2 linked regions of the Tamandua tetradactyla genome follow. The main gene of each other region encodes a partner of the protein of the gene in region 2 in a complex. Links are inferred from orthologs where the notes say so. Each region holds a gene or a part of one and is shown on either strand. Other genes may lie near its edges.

Evidence for each region. The genes of interacting proteins can lie anywhere in the genome.
Region 1: the proteins of PTH2R (region 2) and PTH2 are in contact, whole or in part, in a cryo-EM structure (PDB 7F16), measured with the Homo sapiens proteins. The link is inferred for Tamandua tetradactyla from reciprocal best matches to the Homo sapiens genes PTH2R and PTH2. Residues at the interface, in NP_005039.1 of Homo sapiens: Thr31, Ile32, Ile34, Gln37, Ile38, Asp68, Gly69, Leu70, Ile90, Tyr91, Asp92, Phe93, Met112, Lys117, Ala120, Tyr122, Leu126, Gln130, Pro131, Ser134, Lys137, Gln138, Phe141, Glu142, Tyr152, Arg190, Ile194, Lys197, Val201, Ile205; in NP_848544.1 of Homo sapiens: Ser62, Leu63, Ala64, Leu65, Ala66, Asp67, Asp68, Ala69, Ala70, Phe71, Arg72, Glu73, Arg74, Ala75, Arg76, Leu77, Ala79, Ala80, Leu81, Glu82, Arg83, Arg84, Trp86, Leu87, Tyr90, Met91, Lys93, Leu94, Leu95.

The regions. Positions count from the first base shown.
Region 1 is NC_135342.1:11,682,501-11,688,425, forward strand, and holds PTH2 (parathyroid hormone 2), read left to right. Parts: upstream 1-4,247; coding exon 4,248-4,369; exon of another isoform or gene 4,370-5,167; coding exon 5,168-5,342; downstream 5,343-5,925. Other genes in the region: GFY (Golgi-associated olfactory signaling regulator), read right to left, coding at 361-534, 858-1,992. UniProt on the Homo sapiens protein: Plays a role as a potent and selective agonist of PTH2R resulting in adenyl cyclase activation and intracellular calcium levels elevation. Induces protein kinase C beta activation, recruitment of beta-arrestin and PTH2R internalization.
Region 2 is NC_135329.1:183,952,395-183,960,400, reverse strand, and holds the start of PTH2R (parathyroid hormone 2 receptor), read right to left. Parts: upstream 3,054-8,006; coding exon 3,030-3,053; intron 1,012-3,029; coding exon 909-1,011; intron 1-908. UniProt on the Homo sapiens protein: This is a specific receptor for parathyroid hormone. The activity of this receptor is mediated by G proteins which activate adenylyl cyclase. PTH2R may be responsible for PTH effects in a number of physiological systems.

The DNA.
Region 1 (5,925 bases), on a different chromosome or scaffold from region 2:
TGAACAGGGTTTTCATAGGCAAGGGAGGCGTGGCCTCCGCGCACGAGGGGCGGGGCCTGAAGTGGGGGGGCGGAGAATCAGGGCACGCAGCAGCTCCCGCGGAGAGGAGAGCGGAGGGATCTGGATGGACCCGGCTCCGCCTGATGCAATGCGCAGCGGGCCCCGGGGACGGATCTGGAAGTGTGCACCTGAAATCGCCGCGGGTTAAGGGGCGGGGCCTGGCCACGGAGGGATCGGGCTTATATGGCCTTTGGATCGGGGCCCAGTGCTCTGTGACCCCGCACCCCAAAGCGCCGGGGCAGACCCGGCTAAGGCGACTGGCGGGCGTCCCGGAGGGCCGGGGCGGGGTGGGGCGCTCACCTGGTTCATCCCCGTCGTCTGGGAGCCTGTGGTGCGCGAAGGGCCGCTGGCGAGCCGCCCGCCGGTACAGACAACACAGCAGCAGGAAAATGCCAACCAGCAGCCCGGTCCCCGCGAGGAAGAGGCACAGCGCCCCGCCCGTCGCGCCCCGCGGGCGCCCCACCAGAGTCACACCTGAAGGGGGAGAAGCCAGGGCGTCGAGGGGCCTGAGCTACCAGCCATCCCGCCTCAGACCCGGGGGTCCAGGCCCTCAGCCCCTCCTCCCCCAGAACCGGGGGTCCCCAAGCCTCTCCCCCCTGAGACCCGGCGTCCAGGCCCTCAGCCCCTCCTCCTCAGACCCGGGGGTGCCCAAGCCCCTCCCCCCTGAGACCCGGGCGTCCAGGCCCCCAGCCCCTCCCCTCAGACCCGGGGGTCCCCAAGCCCCTCCCCTCTCGCACCCGGGCTTTCAGGCCCCCAGCCCCTCCCCCCTCAGACCCCCGAGTCCTCGCGCCCCTCACCGGTCTCCTCCACCCGCTCCACTACGATGATCGTGTTCACTCCCTCACTCTGGCTGCGCCGCTGGGGGGCCCGTGGAGTGGCAGGGGGCTGCTGATTAGGAGGCTCTGCAATCCGGGCTGAGAGAGGAGGGGTGCTGGGCTCTTTAGGGCCAGGGTTCTGGGGTTCCTTCAGCTCGGTGGCCCCTGGAAAATCTGAGGTGGGCAGTTTCGGGGGGCTGGGCTGGGCGGTTGCAAGGGTTTCTGGCTTGGGATTCACGGACCCCTCCTTTAGGGTAGTAGGTTCATCCTTGGACGGTGCGGGTGTTTCTGGGAGATTAGTGGAGAGGTCAGGGTCAGAGGTCACGGGTATCTCTGTTGTATCTTGGTAGCGGGTTGTGGGAAATTCTGCTTGGGGTATTTCAGTGGGGCTGGGGTTGTAGAGGGTTTCACTGGGGTCAGGATGGCGGGGCTGGGAGAATTCAGAGTTTGGGGACTCAGTTGTGTTAGGATCATGGGTCTCTAGAGATTTGGGGTTGAGGGTCTTGGTGGGGTCAGGATTTGGGGTCTCATGGACTTCTGTGGCTGGGATTTCAGTGGGATTAAGTTCGGGGATCCCAGAGGATTCTGGGTGTGGAGTTTGGGTTGGGTCGGGGTTTGGGATCTCTGGGAATTCTGGGTGTGCAGTTCCGGAGGGATTAGGGTGGGGGTGGTCGGAGGGTATTTGGTGGGGAGTTTCAGCCGGGTCAGGTTTGGGGATCCGAGAAGGCTCTGGCAGAGTTGCCTCGGAGGGGTTAGGTTTTGAGGGCTCTGGGGATGCTGAGATGGAGGTTTTGAATGGGTGAGGCTTGGGGGTCTCAGGGAACCCTGGAGCTGGGGTTTCCTGGGGGTCCGGTTTGGGGATCTCAGTGAAGTCAAGGGTAGGAGTCTCAGGGGAAACCTCCTGAGGGGTCTTGTCCGGCTGAGGAGAAACGGCCCCCGGGGATTCCGTGTTGGGCCCGTAAGGAGTGGAATTTTCAGAAGCGCGCGGGGAAACAGCGGACGGGCCTGCTCCCGGGACGTCGGAGGCCGCGGACGGTGAGGCCGAGGGGGCGGCCGTGGAGCCCAGCCCGGCCAGGAGGAAGAGGAGGAGGAAGAGGGTCGGGTTGAACGGGTTCATAGCTCCGGGAGCCGCCTAAAGCTGCGGGGAAGCGGGAAGGAAGGGGTTAAAGCGGGAAGATCCGCGGAAGCCCCGCCCATTGCCCCTCCCCCCAGGTGGACCCGGGGCGGACCGCGGGCCACGCCCAGCAGGGCGCCAGGCAAAGGCGGGGACCCCGACCGCCGCTCCGCAGCTCCCCGAAGGCAGGGCAGTAGTCACAGTAGCTAAGGGAGACTGACGCCCTGAGCTTTCTGCAAGCGGTAGTTACAATTCAATTTCCTTCCCTGTTGCCCCCGGGGTCCCAGAAGAAATTGGAAAGAAGTACACCTCTCCAAGCCCGCAGGCCCTGTCTCTCTGAGGGCACCACGGGCAACTGGACTCAACAGTTGTTTACACAAGAGGAGGCTCGGGAGGCCGGGACTCCTGGGTGTTAGGGCGGGGGCACTGCTGGGTCCCCAGTAGAAGGTCAATGGGGGTCTGGACTCCCGCGTCCCAAAGGGTGGCAGAGGGGCTGAGAATCTGAATTCCCGGTTCTTTAGAAAGGAGAGGGAGGTCTGGAGGTTCTGACGCACAGGATATGGGGAGACAAAATTTGGGGGGGTGGGAGGGCTGGAAGAGAGGAGGTGGAGGTCTTAAACTCCTGAGGGAGAAAGGGATTGGGAATTCCAAATCCTCAGTGCTCGAGAGTTTGGGGTCTCGGGTAGGGACTCCAGAACCTGCAAGGAAGGCTGTTTATGGAGGATGGAGCTGGGATCCCAGGGGCTCCGGAGCAGAGATGCCCAGATGTGTGGTCAGGTGGAGACACCTGGATGGAACAAGGTCATTTGGGATCCTGAATTGGGTCCTGGGGTCTCTTACCTGCTCAGTGCAGTCCAAGACACACCAGCAGGTGAGCAGAGCTGGAAGCAGAAACAGGTGAATGTTGTAGAATGGCTCTGGGCATAGGGGGGGAGGTGGGGTCCCAGGGGTGGAGGTGACGCATCTGGCCCCATCCCCAGGGATGCTGGAAGCCTAGCAACAGGCTTGGGCTCTTAAAGACTCCCAGATAAAAGACATTGTTAGGAGTTACAGACTGGATGGCCTGGTGGTCTTCCCTTTGAGATCTGGAATCCGAGCCCCTGGCCCTCTCCTACCCTGACACCCAGAGACCAGCCCGCAGCCCCCTCATCCTCCCCCAGAACCCAGGAGTCCTGGCCCCTGTCCTCCCCATTCTCAAACCCAGGAGCCAAGCCCCAGCCTCCTCCTCTCTGGACGAGGAGCCTCACGTCTTGCGAATCAGAGAGACACAGTTGCAGCCCTTTGGGACGTTCCCACCTTTGCCCCCCTCCTGGGGGCACCCTCTTAATTGTCCATGGGGAGGAGGGTTGGGCCTGATCTCAAGACCCCCAAATTCTTCCCAGAGCAGGGCTTGGGTCCACCCACATGGAAGGCCTGGGTCCGTGTCTCTCTCCCCTCTTCACGGTCTCTGTAAGGTTTCTCTGATTTTGTCTCTGTCACCTTACCAGTCTTCCTGTGCCCCCCCCATATCCAACCATACGCCCCCCCAACCACATGTACCCTTTTCTGTCTTTCACCTTTCCCCCCCTCCCTATCACTCCGTCTTGCTGGTTCTCCCTGCCTGGGTTCACCTCTGGGCATCTCTCTCCTAGGCTGTCTGTCTCTCCATCTCCCCCTGTCTTTCTGCCAGCCTCCATCTCTATCTGGTTCTGTCTCCCCCTCTTCCATTCCTTTCTTTCTTCCTAGATTACTCCCTTTCTTACCGTCTATTCCTCTGTCACTCTGTCTGTCCCTCTCCCTGCTACTGCATCTCTGTGTGTGCGTTTATCCCCATCAGTCCTTTCTCTCTCGGTGTCTCTATCTTCTGCACTGATGGTCCCTCAGTCCAGCCTCTATTTTTATCCCTCTGACACACCCCCTGTGTCCACCTCTCTGTCTGTCTGTCTGTCCCCCTCCCTCTTCTCGGATCCAGGCTCCCATCCCAATTAGTCGGTGGTGGCCAGGCAGTGGCAGGGCCACCAACCCCAGCTCCTCATTACTGCTGGCAGCTCCTAATGAGCTTGGTGGGGGGCTGACCCCCAGCCCCCCGGGCCCCCCGCCTGCGTCACTGCCGCCGCGGGGGCTGTGGAGGCCATATAAGGGGGCCGCCAGCATCGCTGCCCAGCCCACTGCACGGTAGGGGGCCCCGTAGGCGGGCTGCAGGGTGGGTCGGTGGTGGGGTCTCCGTGCTGGGTGAGCCGCGGGCCTCACTGAGTCCCTCCCCCCTCTCTGCACAGGTGATGGAGACCCACCAGGTGCCCAGGACCCACCGGGTGCGGCTGCTGCTGCTGCTTCTGCTGCTTGTGCCCTGGGGCATCCGCACAGCCTCGGGGGTAGCCTTGCCCCCTGCGGGGGTCCTTGGGTAAGTGCGTGGGGACCAGGACACCCAGGGATGGGGTCTCAGAAAGATGGGAAGAGAGGACAACCAGAGAGAAGTAGGGACTTGGAGAAGTGGGAAAAGACCCAGAAATAAGAGGGACAAAGAGAGCAAAGAGGACAGAGGCCTGGGGGGTGGGGGGTGGGGCAGAGACCCAGAGAGACAGGGACTGAGTCCACAGAGAAGGGGACAGAGACCCAGAGAAGGGGCGGTAGAGACTCAGAGAGAGGGGGGCTGAGTTTTGGTGTGCTCAGAGAGGCGGACAGAGACCCAGAGAGGGGGAGACAGAGATCCAGAGATGGGGGAGGCCCAGAGAGGGGGACAGGGACCCAGAGAGAGGGGGACAGAGACCCAGAGAGATGGGAGAGACTCAGAGAGGGAGACAGAGACCCGGGGGTGGGGGTGGGACAGAGGCCCAGAGAGATGGGATAGAGACCCAGATAGAAAGGAAAGACAGAGACGTTGGGGTAGAGATGTGAGAGGGGGTGGACAGAGAATCAGCAAGAGAAAGAGAGAAATGAAAAGACAGATGCTGCCACTGGGAGGAAAGCGTTTAGAGATTTCAAGGGAGTCGAAGCTGTAACGGATGCGTCCCGGGGCGGCGTTCACTGAGCACTTGGTGCGCTCAGCGCATCCTGCGGAACAGAGAGGGGGCCGCAGAGACCCACGCGGGGAAGGAGACCGACAGAGAGACGGGGCCAGGGCCACCCCGCAGACGGCGCAATAACGGGGACGGCGGGGGGCTGGACGCGCGTGTAACCGCGTCTCTCGGTCTCCGCGCAGCCCCCGCACCCCGGACCGCGCCTGGGGGCTTCCCGGCAGCCCCGCATCGCGGCGGAGCCTGGCGCTGGCGGACGACGCGGCCTTCCGGGAGCGCGCGCGGCTGCTGGCCGCCCTCGAGCGCCGCCACTGGCTGAACTCGTACATGCGCAGGCTGCTGGTGCTGGACGCCCGCTGAGAGCCCCGCGCGCCCCCACCCCAATAAAGACCCCGCAGTGCGCCCGCGACTGCGCCTCCTTCCTGCGCCGCCCGCGGGGGCCCGCGCGGTCGAGCGTCTCGCCCCCCACTCTCCTCTCGCTCCTTTTTCTTTCCTTTTTAAAAACATCACCATTCCCTTCCTCTCTCTCTTTTTTTTCCTCCCCACTCCCTCTGGGTCCTAATTTCTTTCTCCTCTCTCTCTGGATCTCTGTCCCCCGCCCCCGCCCACACTCTGTCTCCTCCCTTTACTCCGGATCTCTGTTCCTTCTCTCCCGCGTTTTTCCCGCCCCTCCCCCGGGTCTCTGTCCCCCTCTCTCTGGGCCTCACTTCTTTCTCTCTTTCCACCCCTCTGGTTTCTTCGCTCTCTGGGGACCCCTGCCTCCCTTCTCTTTCTTTTTTTTTCCTTTTCTCTTTTTCCTGCCTCGAGATCTCTTCTGTCCTTCCTTTCTCTCTTTCCTTTTCCTCTACCTGACTTCTTAACGTCTTCCCTTTTTTTTTTCTTCCTCTGGGTGTCTGTCCCTTTATTCGGGTGTGACTCCTAAGCTTCATTCTCTCCGAGTTTC
Region 2 (8,006 bases):
CAAATTAGTAGTACAAGAAAAAAGAAAATAAGGGAAAAAGTCTCAATCAATCTGAAAGAAACCAAAGGTGGGGCATTGTACAGTGGAAATAGGAGGGACACATAGGAAAAGTTGGTGAAATAAAAAGGCCAAATAAGAAGGTAAGATAAAATTCAAACACTGTATATTAGTAATCACAATTAATTTAACTGGGCTAAACTCTTCAGTTAAAAGACAAAAACCATCAGAATGGATAAAAATAAAAGGTCCATGAACGAGTTGCTTATAAAAGATACTTCAGGGCAGGTCACGGTGGCTCAGCAGGCAGAGTTTTCGCCTGAGAGATTCCCAGTGCCTGCCCATGAAAAAAAAAGATACTCCAGGGTCATAAAGATACAGAAAAATTGAAGAAAAGGTGAGGAAAAGAAATGCAAGACAAATACCAGGCAAGAGACAGCCAGTTTTATTTATTAAATATTGTTCAATTTAATATAATAGTTTATAAAGATTAAGAGGTTTGCTTCATACTTACAAAAGGGTCAATCTGCCAGTCAGTATAACATTTCTTAACTTGTATATACCTCATAACATAGCTGCAAAATAGATGAAGCAAAACATTGCAAAACTTCAATGAAATATTGAAAAACTCCCCATTCGTGGGAGATTTTAAGACATAGCTCTCAGGAAAGAATAGGTCAAGAAGATGAAAAAAATGCTTATGGATACAGGATGCATATGGATGCAGAAGGAGGGAGGAGCACATGGGGTGAAGAGATTAAAAAGAGCATTATTCTACTCCACACCCCTCTACCTGGAAGAAGGAAAAGACTGATAAGGAGTTCTCTAACACTAAATCAGGAGGGAAATTTGAAATCATTTTTGGAACTGAGATGGGGAGAAAGGGGTGGGACATGTCTTGGCACCTTTACCTCCCTCCTGGAGCTGGGCTGTGATGTTGAGCTCACACTGGCCTTTAGCTTTCAGCACAAGGACAATCTGCTCCTCTATAGTAATGGTGCCATCAGCATCCAACTGCAGAAAGAAAATACAAAAAACAAAGAGAGAAAAACATTCCTAACATTTTAAAAGTACCTTCTAATATAATTTAACTTAAAATCTTGATAGCAAGTAATCTGAAATAGTCTTTTACTTGAATTAAAATGCAAAATCTGTCAGTGTATAAGACTTTAGGGTAATTTTAGTTTTACTTGATTAGCCTAAAGAAGAAAATCTTATACCAGAGAATGGGAAGAAAATTTTAATCTAATTAGATAATGATATTGCATATGATATAATTGGAAAAGTATGATTTCCCAGAATGCTACGAAGACTCGATAGTTTATTGATTCTCTTGCAATATGTGACTTTATTTGTGACACTTAGAAAGTAATAGAATGGAAATCTACCAAAATAATGCCAGTAAAACCTGGAGCAAATCATATAACATCTTTGGCCTTTAGTTTATTCATCTATGAAATATAAGGGTTACTCCAAATGGTCTCAAATTGCCCTTTTGCCTTAACAGCCTAACTCTGTAATGGTGAGATATGCACTAACGTATTTATTATCCTTTCAATCAATATACATTAAATACTTTTTAAGTAAAAAAATAATGTGACATTATAGTAAAGACTTTTATTTTCATTTTTTTTTCTTCAAATAAAATTGCATAATAAAATCCCACATATATATTCTGCTCTGGCTGAGGCCTAGGGGAAGATAATTGCAGAATCACACTGTTACCAATTTGAATCTTCCCTTCCCCCTGAGCCTGCTCTGAAAAACCACAAGGTTTCTCAAACTTGATTTGAAAATCACTTTTAATAGAAATGCAAAGATGTAGAGTAGCATTTTATAGGACCCCAAAACAAAACTGCTTTCTAAAATGAATACATTTCTACTCCTAGAGAAATGTCCCAAACCACAGTGCAATTAATCTTCCTTGGTTAAATAGAGACTGGTGATTAGATAGTTGAGAAAGTTAGATATAGGTTAGTGATAGATTAGATAGATGATTACAGAGAAGTAGACGGCAGATTACACAGATAGATGAACAGACAGATTAGATGATTATGTTATTAATATGTTAATGATAGATTAGATAAATGATGATTATAGAGAGATAGAGGACAGATTAGATTAGATAGATAACAGATAGATAAATATAGACATAGATGCAGATAAAGGTTTGTGACTGGTGACAGTGATGATAATCACAGTGGCCTGGGAAGAACATTATCTTTCCCTATGGTAATTTGCTTAGGAAAGAGGTCTTTCCCAAACTAGCTTAATCACAGTCTTTTCAGGAAAGCTATCCTTGACACTCCCATGCCTACTCTTAACTTGACTCTTTCCTTCTCTGTAACTTCATCTGTCCCAATACGGTCTGAGTTTATCACGTTTTTATTTTTATTTTTAATATATATTAGGCTGCCCAATACAAGGTATCTACTAAATGTACATTAACTTTGAAAATATTTCTATAGGTCTGTTTCTCAACTAACCTCTGAGCTCCTTTACAGAAACAGCTTTGTTGCTGGGTGCCTTTCTACCCACTCCCACTCAGAGCATGTTTCTAACACACAAAAAGTGTTTGATAGGGTTGGCCATGGTGGCTCAGCAGGCAGAGTTCTCGCCTGCCATGCCGGAGACTTGGGTTCAATTCCTTGTGCCTGCTGATGTAAAAGAAAAAAAAAAAGCATTTGATAAACACTTGGCTGGGAGACTTCTGGGAAGACGGTCAAATAGAGCAGCTTAAGATTAGCCCTGCTCCATGGAAAAGTTAGAGAAGGGACAGGAAGGTGATCGAGGCAGCAATTTGGGAGTGTGGCTGATGCGGGAGAGCCTTCTGCACCACACAAGGCAGCCCTGGTTGCAGAGGTTGAGGAACTGAGAGGCAGAAAGCTGGAGCCTGGAGCAGAGGCTCAGAGCCCATGGGAGTACATGGACAGGAGCCTGGGACTAGGAAGTAAGCCAGGTTGTATTCCTTGAGTGTGCTACCCTCACCAGCGCAGCCCCATGACTGGCAACTCAGCCCACACACCACATACCTGAACTCTGTCACCCGCTCCCATTCCCTGTGCTCCAGACACCCCCACCCCCCCAGCCTACATACCTGCCCCACAACCCAATCCTAACTGCAGCCCAACCCACTTCTCCTGCACTTCTCCTGCACCCCTCCCAAGTACTACCTCCCCCTCCCTGTTCCCCACAGGCTGTTGCCAGCGCATAAAGGCTGCAGGCACTAATCTCCATACTCAGGCTACTCCCGCCACGTGCCCATAGTTTCACACAGCCTCACGGCACCTCCCCTGACTCTGCATATCAGTTAATGGCTTTCCTAGGCCCACACATGCACAAGGGTCCCCAATCACGTCATTCAGCTCTGGGAACCACACTTTATAGCAGTCCTAGAACCACACATGTACACGGCCCTCAGCCACAATTCCCAGCTCTGAGCAAGTGCTGAACTGCACAGCGGGTTACATCTGCCCCCAATCCATGAAGGCATAATACCAACCTACTGCCACAGCTCTATGCATGAGCACAAAGGGCCCCATGCCTTAGGCTGGCACACACCAGAGTTATGCCCTTCAGACCGGAGTACCCACACAGCTACATTTTCCCTGGCCGCTGAGTGCCCACATTCACAAGCATCAGCATAACATCCCCAAACTGCGCCTATATCTGCCCTGAAACAAATCACCACACTGAGTGCCCCACCCTGTACCCTGCTCCCTGCTGCACATCCATCCCACAAATGCAAGGCCTTAGACTACTGAAAGAAATCAACTCCCAAAGTAAAGCAATCAAGATATTTATGGGTGGGCCATGGTGGCTCAGCAGGTAAGAATGCTTGCCTGCCATGCCCAAGGACCCGGGTTCAATTCCCGGTGCCTGCCCATGTAAAGAAAAAAAAAAGAAAAAGAAAAAAAAAAAGATATTTACATCCCACGAAGACAGCAGAAGATCACTAAGCATATTACAATGCAGACATATATAGCACTGCCTAATGACCAAATTAAAACACTAGATGAGACATAGATGTTGGAACAATTAATCAAAGATGTTCATACAACTCTAATAGAATTAGTGGGATAGCAAATGACATAAAGAATATCAAGAAACAGTAGATGAGCATAAAAAGGAATTTGAAAGAATAAATAGAAAAATAGCAGATGTCAGAGATTAAAGACTCTGATGAACAAATAAAAAATATACTAGAGGCACACAACACCAGATTTGAAGAAGAAGAAGAAATAATAAGTGGTATAGAGGACAAGATAACTAATTTCAAAGACTCAAAACAGCAAATGGCAAAAAAGACGGAAAAAATTGAATTCAATCTCAGAGAAATGATAGACAACATAAAGCACACAAATATAAGAATCACTGGTGTCCCATAAGCAGAAGAGAGGAGTAAAGGACTAGGAAGAGTAGTTGAGGATATAATGGGAGAAAACTTCCCAACTCTCATAAAGGACATTAATATACAAATCAAAGAAACCCAACGAACTTCAAACAGAATAAATCCAAATAAGCCTTCCCTAATGCACATACTAATTAGTCTGTCAAATGTTGAAGAGAAGCAGAAAATCCTGAAAGCAACAAGAGAAAAACAATCTATTACATACAAGGGAAACTAAATAAGACTGAGTTCAGACTACAGCTAGCACCCTGATGGTGAGAAGTCAGTGGTATGATATATTCAAGATCCTGAAAGAGAAAGACTTTCAGCCAAGAATTCTGTACCCAGCCAAACGACCTTCAAAACTGAGGGAGAAATTAAAGTTTTCACAGACAAAGAAGTCCTGAAAGAATTTGTCAACAAGAGACTGACCGTACAAGAAATACTAAAAGGAGTTCTGCCTATTGAAAAAGAAAAGCAGGAGAGGGAAGTCTGGAGGATGGTACAGGATTGAAGAGTACCACTGACAGTAATTTAAAGAATACAAAGAGAAAGAGGGAAAAGAATACATAGGTCTGACAAATAAAATATAAAAGATAGGATGGTGGATTCAAGAAACACCTTTTCAATAATAACTTTGAATGTAAGCGGACTAAACTTACCAATTAAAAGATACAGATTGGCAGAATGGATTAAGAAACATAATCCAGCTGTATGCTGCTTACAAGAGACTCATCTTAGACACAAGGATACAAATATATTGAAAATGAAAGGATGGTAAAAGACTTTCCACACAAGTTGTAACCAAAACAAAGATCAACAAGGAAATAGAGAAGTTAAATAACCTGATAAATGAATTAGACCTAACAGACATATATAGGTCACTGAACCCCAAAATACAAGGATATACATTCTTCTCTAGTGCACATGGAACATTCTCCAAGATAGATCATATGTTGGGGCACATAACAGGTCTTCATAAATTCAAAAACATTGTAATTATTCAAAGCACTTTCTCTGATCACAATGAGATGAAGCTGGATCTCAATAACCAAAGAAGAATGAGAACATTCCAAAATATGTGGACATTAAATAACATATTCTTAAACAACCAGTGGGTCAAAGAAGAAATTGCTAGAGAAATCAGTAGCTATCTGGAGATGAATGAAAATGAGCATACAACTTATCAGAATTTATGGGATGCAGCAAAGGCTGTGCTGACAGGGAAATTTATTGCCCTAAAAGCCTGTATTAAAAAACTAGAAAGAGCAAAAATCAAGGACTTAAAAGCACATCTGGAGGAACTTCAGAAAGAACAGCAAACTAACCCCAATGCAAACAGAAGAAGAGAAATAACAAAGATTAAAGCAGAGATAAATGAATGGGAGAACAATAGAAAGAATCAATAAAACCAAAAGTTGGTTCTTTGAGAAAATCAATAAAATTGATGGGCCACTAGCAAGACTGACAAAGAAAAAAAGAGAGAGTATGCAAATAAACAAAATCAGAAATGAGAAGAGGTGCGTTACCACAGACCCTGAAGAAATAAAAGAAATTTTAAGAGAATACTATGAACAACTATACGTCAACAAACTAGACAACTTAGATGAAATGAACAAATTTCTGGAGACACACCAACAAGCTACACTGACTCAGAAAGAAACAGAAGATCTAAACAAACCAATCACAAGTAAAGAGATTCAATCAGTCATCAAAAATCTTCCTACAAAGAAAAGCTCAGGGCCAGATGGCTTCACAGAGGAATTTTATCAGATATTTCAAAAAGAATTAACACCAATCCTGCTCAAATGTTTCCAAAAAATTGAGGGCAAAGGAACTCTACCTAACTCATTTTATGAAGCTAATATCATTTTAATACCAAAACCAGGTAAAGATGCTATAAGAAAGGATAACTACAGGCCAATCTCCCTAATGAACACAGATGCAAAAATTCTCAGTAAAATATTAGCAAATTGAATCCAACAATACATTAAAAGAATTATACACATGACCAAGTGGGGTTTATACCAGGAATGCAAGGATGTTTCAACACAAGAAAAATCAATTAATGTAATACAGCACATTAACAAATCAAAAGGGAAAAATCACATGATCATCTCAACTGATGCTGAAAAAGCATTTGACAAAATTCAGCATCCTTTTCTGATGAAAATACTTCAAAAGATAGGCATCAAAGATAACCACCTCAATATGATGAAGGGAATATATGAAAAACTGATAGCCAGCATTGTACTCAACGGAGAGAGACTGAAAGCTTTACTCCTAGATCAGGAACAGGACAAGGTTGCCCACTATCACCACTATTATTCAACACTATGCTAAAAGGTCTAGCTAGAGCAATCAGGCAGGTCAAAGAAATAAGAGGCATCCAAATTGGAAATGAAGAAGTAAAACTCTCATTACTTGCAGATGATATGATACTACACTTGGAAGATCCTGAGAAATCTACAGCAAAGTTATTTGACCTAATAAACAAATTCAGCAAGGTGGCAGGATATAAAATTAAGGTCCAAAAATCAGTAACATTTCTACACACAAGCAATGACCTAACTGAGGAGTCAGTTAAGGAAAAAATTCCATTAAAATAGCAACTAACAGAATCAAGTACTTAAGAATGAACTTACCTAGGGACGTAAAGGACTTCTACACAGAAAACTACATAACATTGCTAAAAGAAATCAAAAGAGATCTAAATAGGTGGAAAGACATTCCTTGCTCATGCACAGGAAGGCTAAATATAGTCAAGATGTCAATTCTCCCTAAATTGATCTACAGATTCAATGCAGTACCAATCAAAATACCAACAAACTACTTTGAAGATTTGGAAAAGCTAATTACCAAGTTCATCTGGAAGGGAAAGAGACCCTGAATAGCTAAAAGCATTCTAAAAAAGAAGAATGAAATGGGAGGATTAACACTTCCTGACTTGCAAACCTATTATAAAGCCACAGTGGTCAAAACAGCATGGCACTGGCACAAAGACAGAAGACCAATGAATCAAACCGAGAGTGCAGAAATAGACCACCAAATCTATGGTCAACTGATTTCTGACAAGGCCCCCGAATCCTTGGAACTGGTACAAAATAGTCTTTTCAATAATTGGGCATGGAAGAACTGGATATCAATAGCCAAAAGAATGAAAGAGGACCCCTTACACCCTACACAAAAATTAACTCAAAGTGGATCAAACACCTAAATGTAAGTACTAGCACCATAAAGCTTTTGGAAGAAAATGTAGGGAAACATCTGCAAGATGTAGTAAAAGAAGGTAGCTTCCTAAACTTTATACCCAAAGCACAAGCAGCAAACATAAAAATAGATAAATGGGAACTCTTCAAAATCAAATGCTTCGGCACCTCAAAAGACTTTGTCAAAAAGGTGAAGAGGCAGCCAACTCAATGGGAGAAAACATTTGGAAATCACATATCAGACTAAGGTTTGATTTCCTGTTTATACAAAGAAATCATACAACTCAACAGCAAAAGAAAAAACAATCCAATTATAAAATGGGCTAAAGATGCAGTCATTTTTCTGAAGAGAAGATACAGATGGCTCAAAAGTGCATGAAGAAATGTTCATTATCATTGGCTATAAAGGA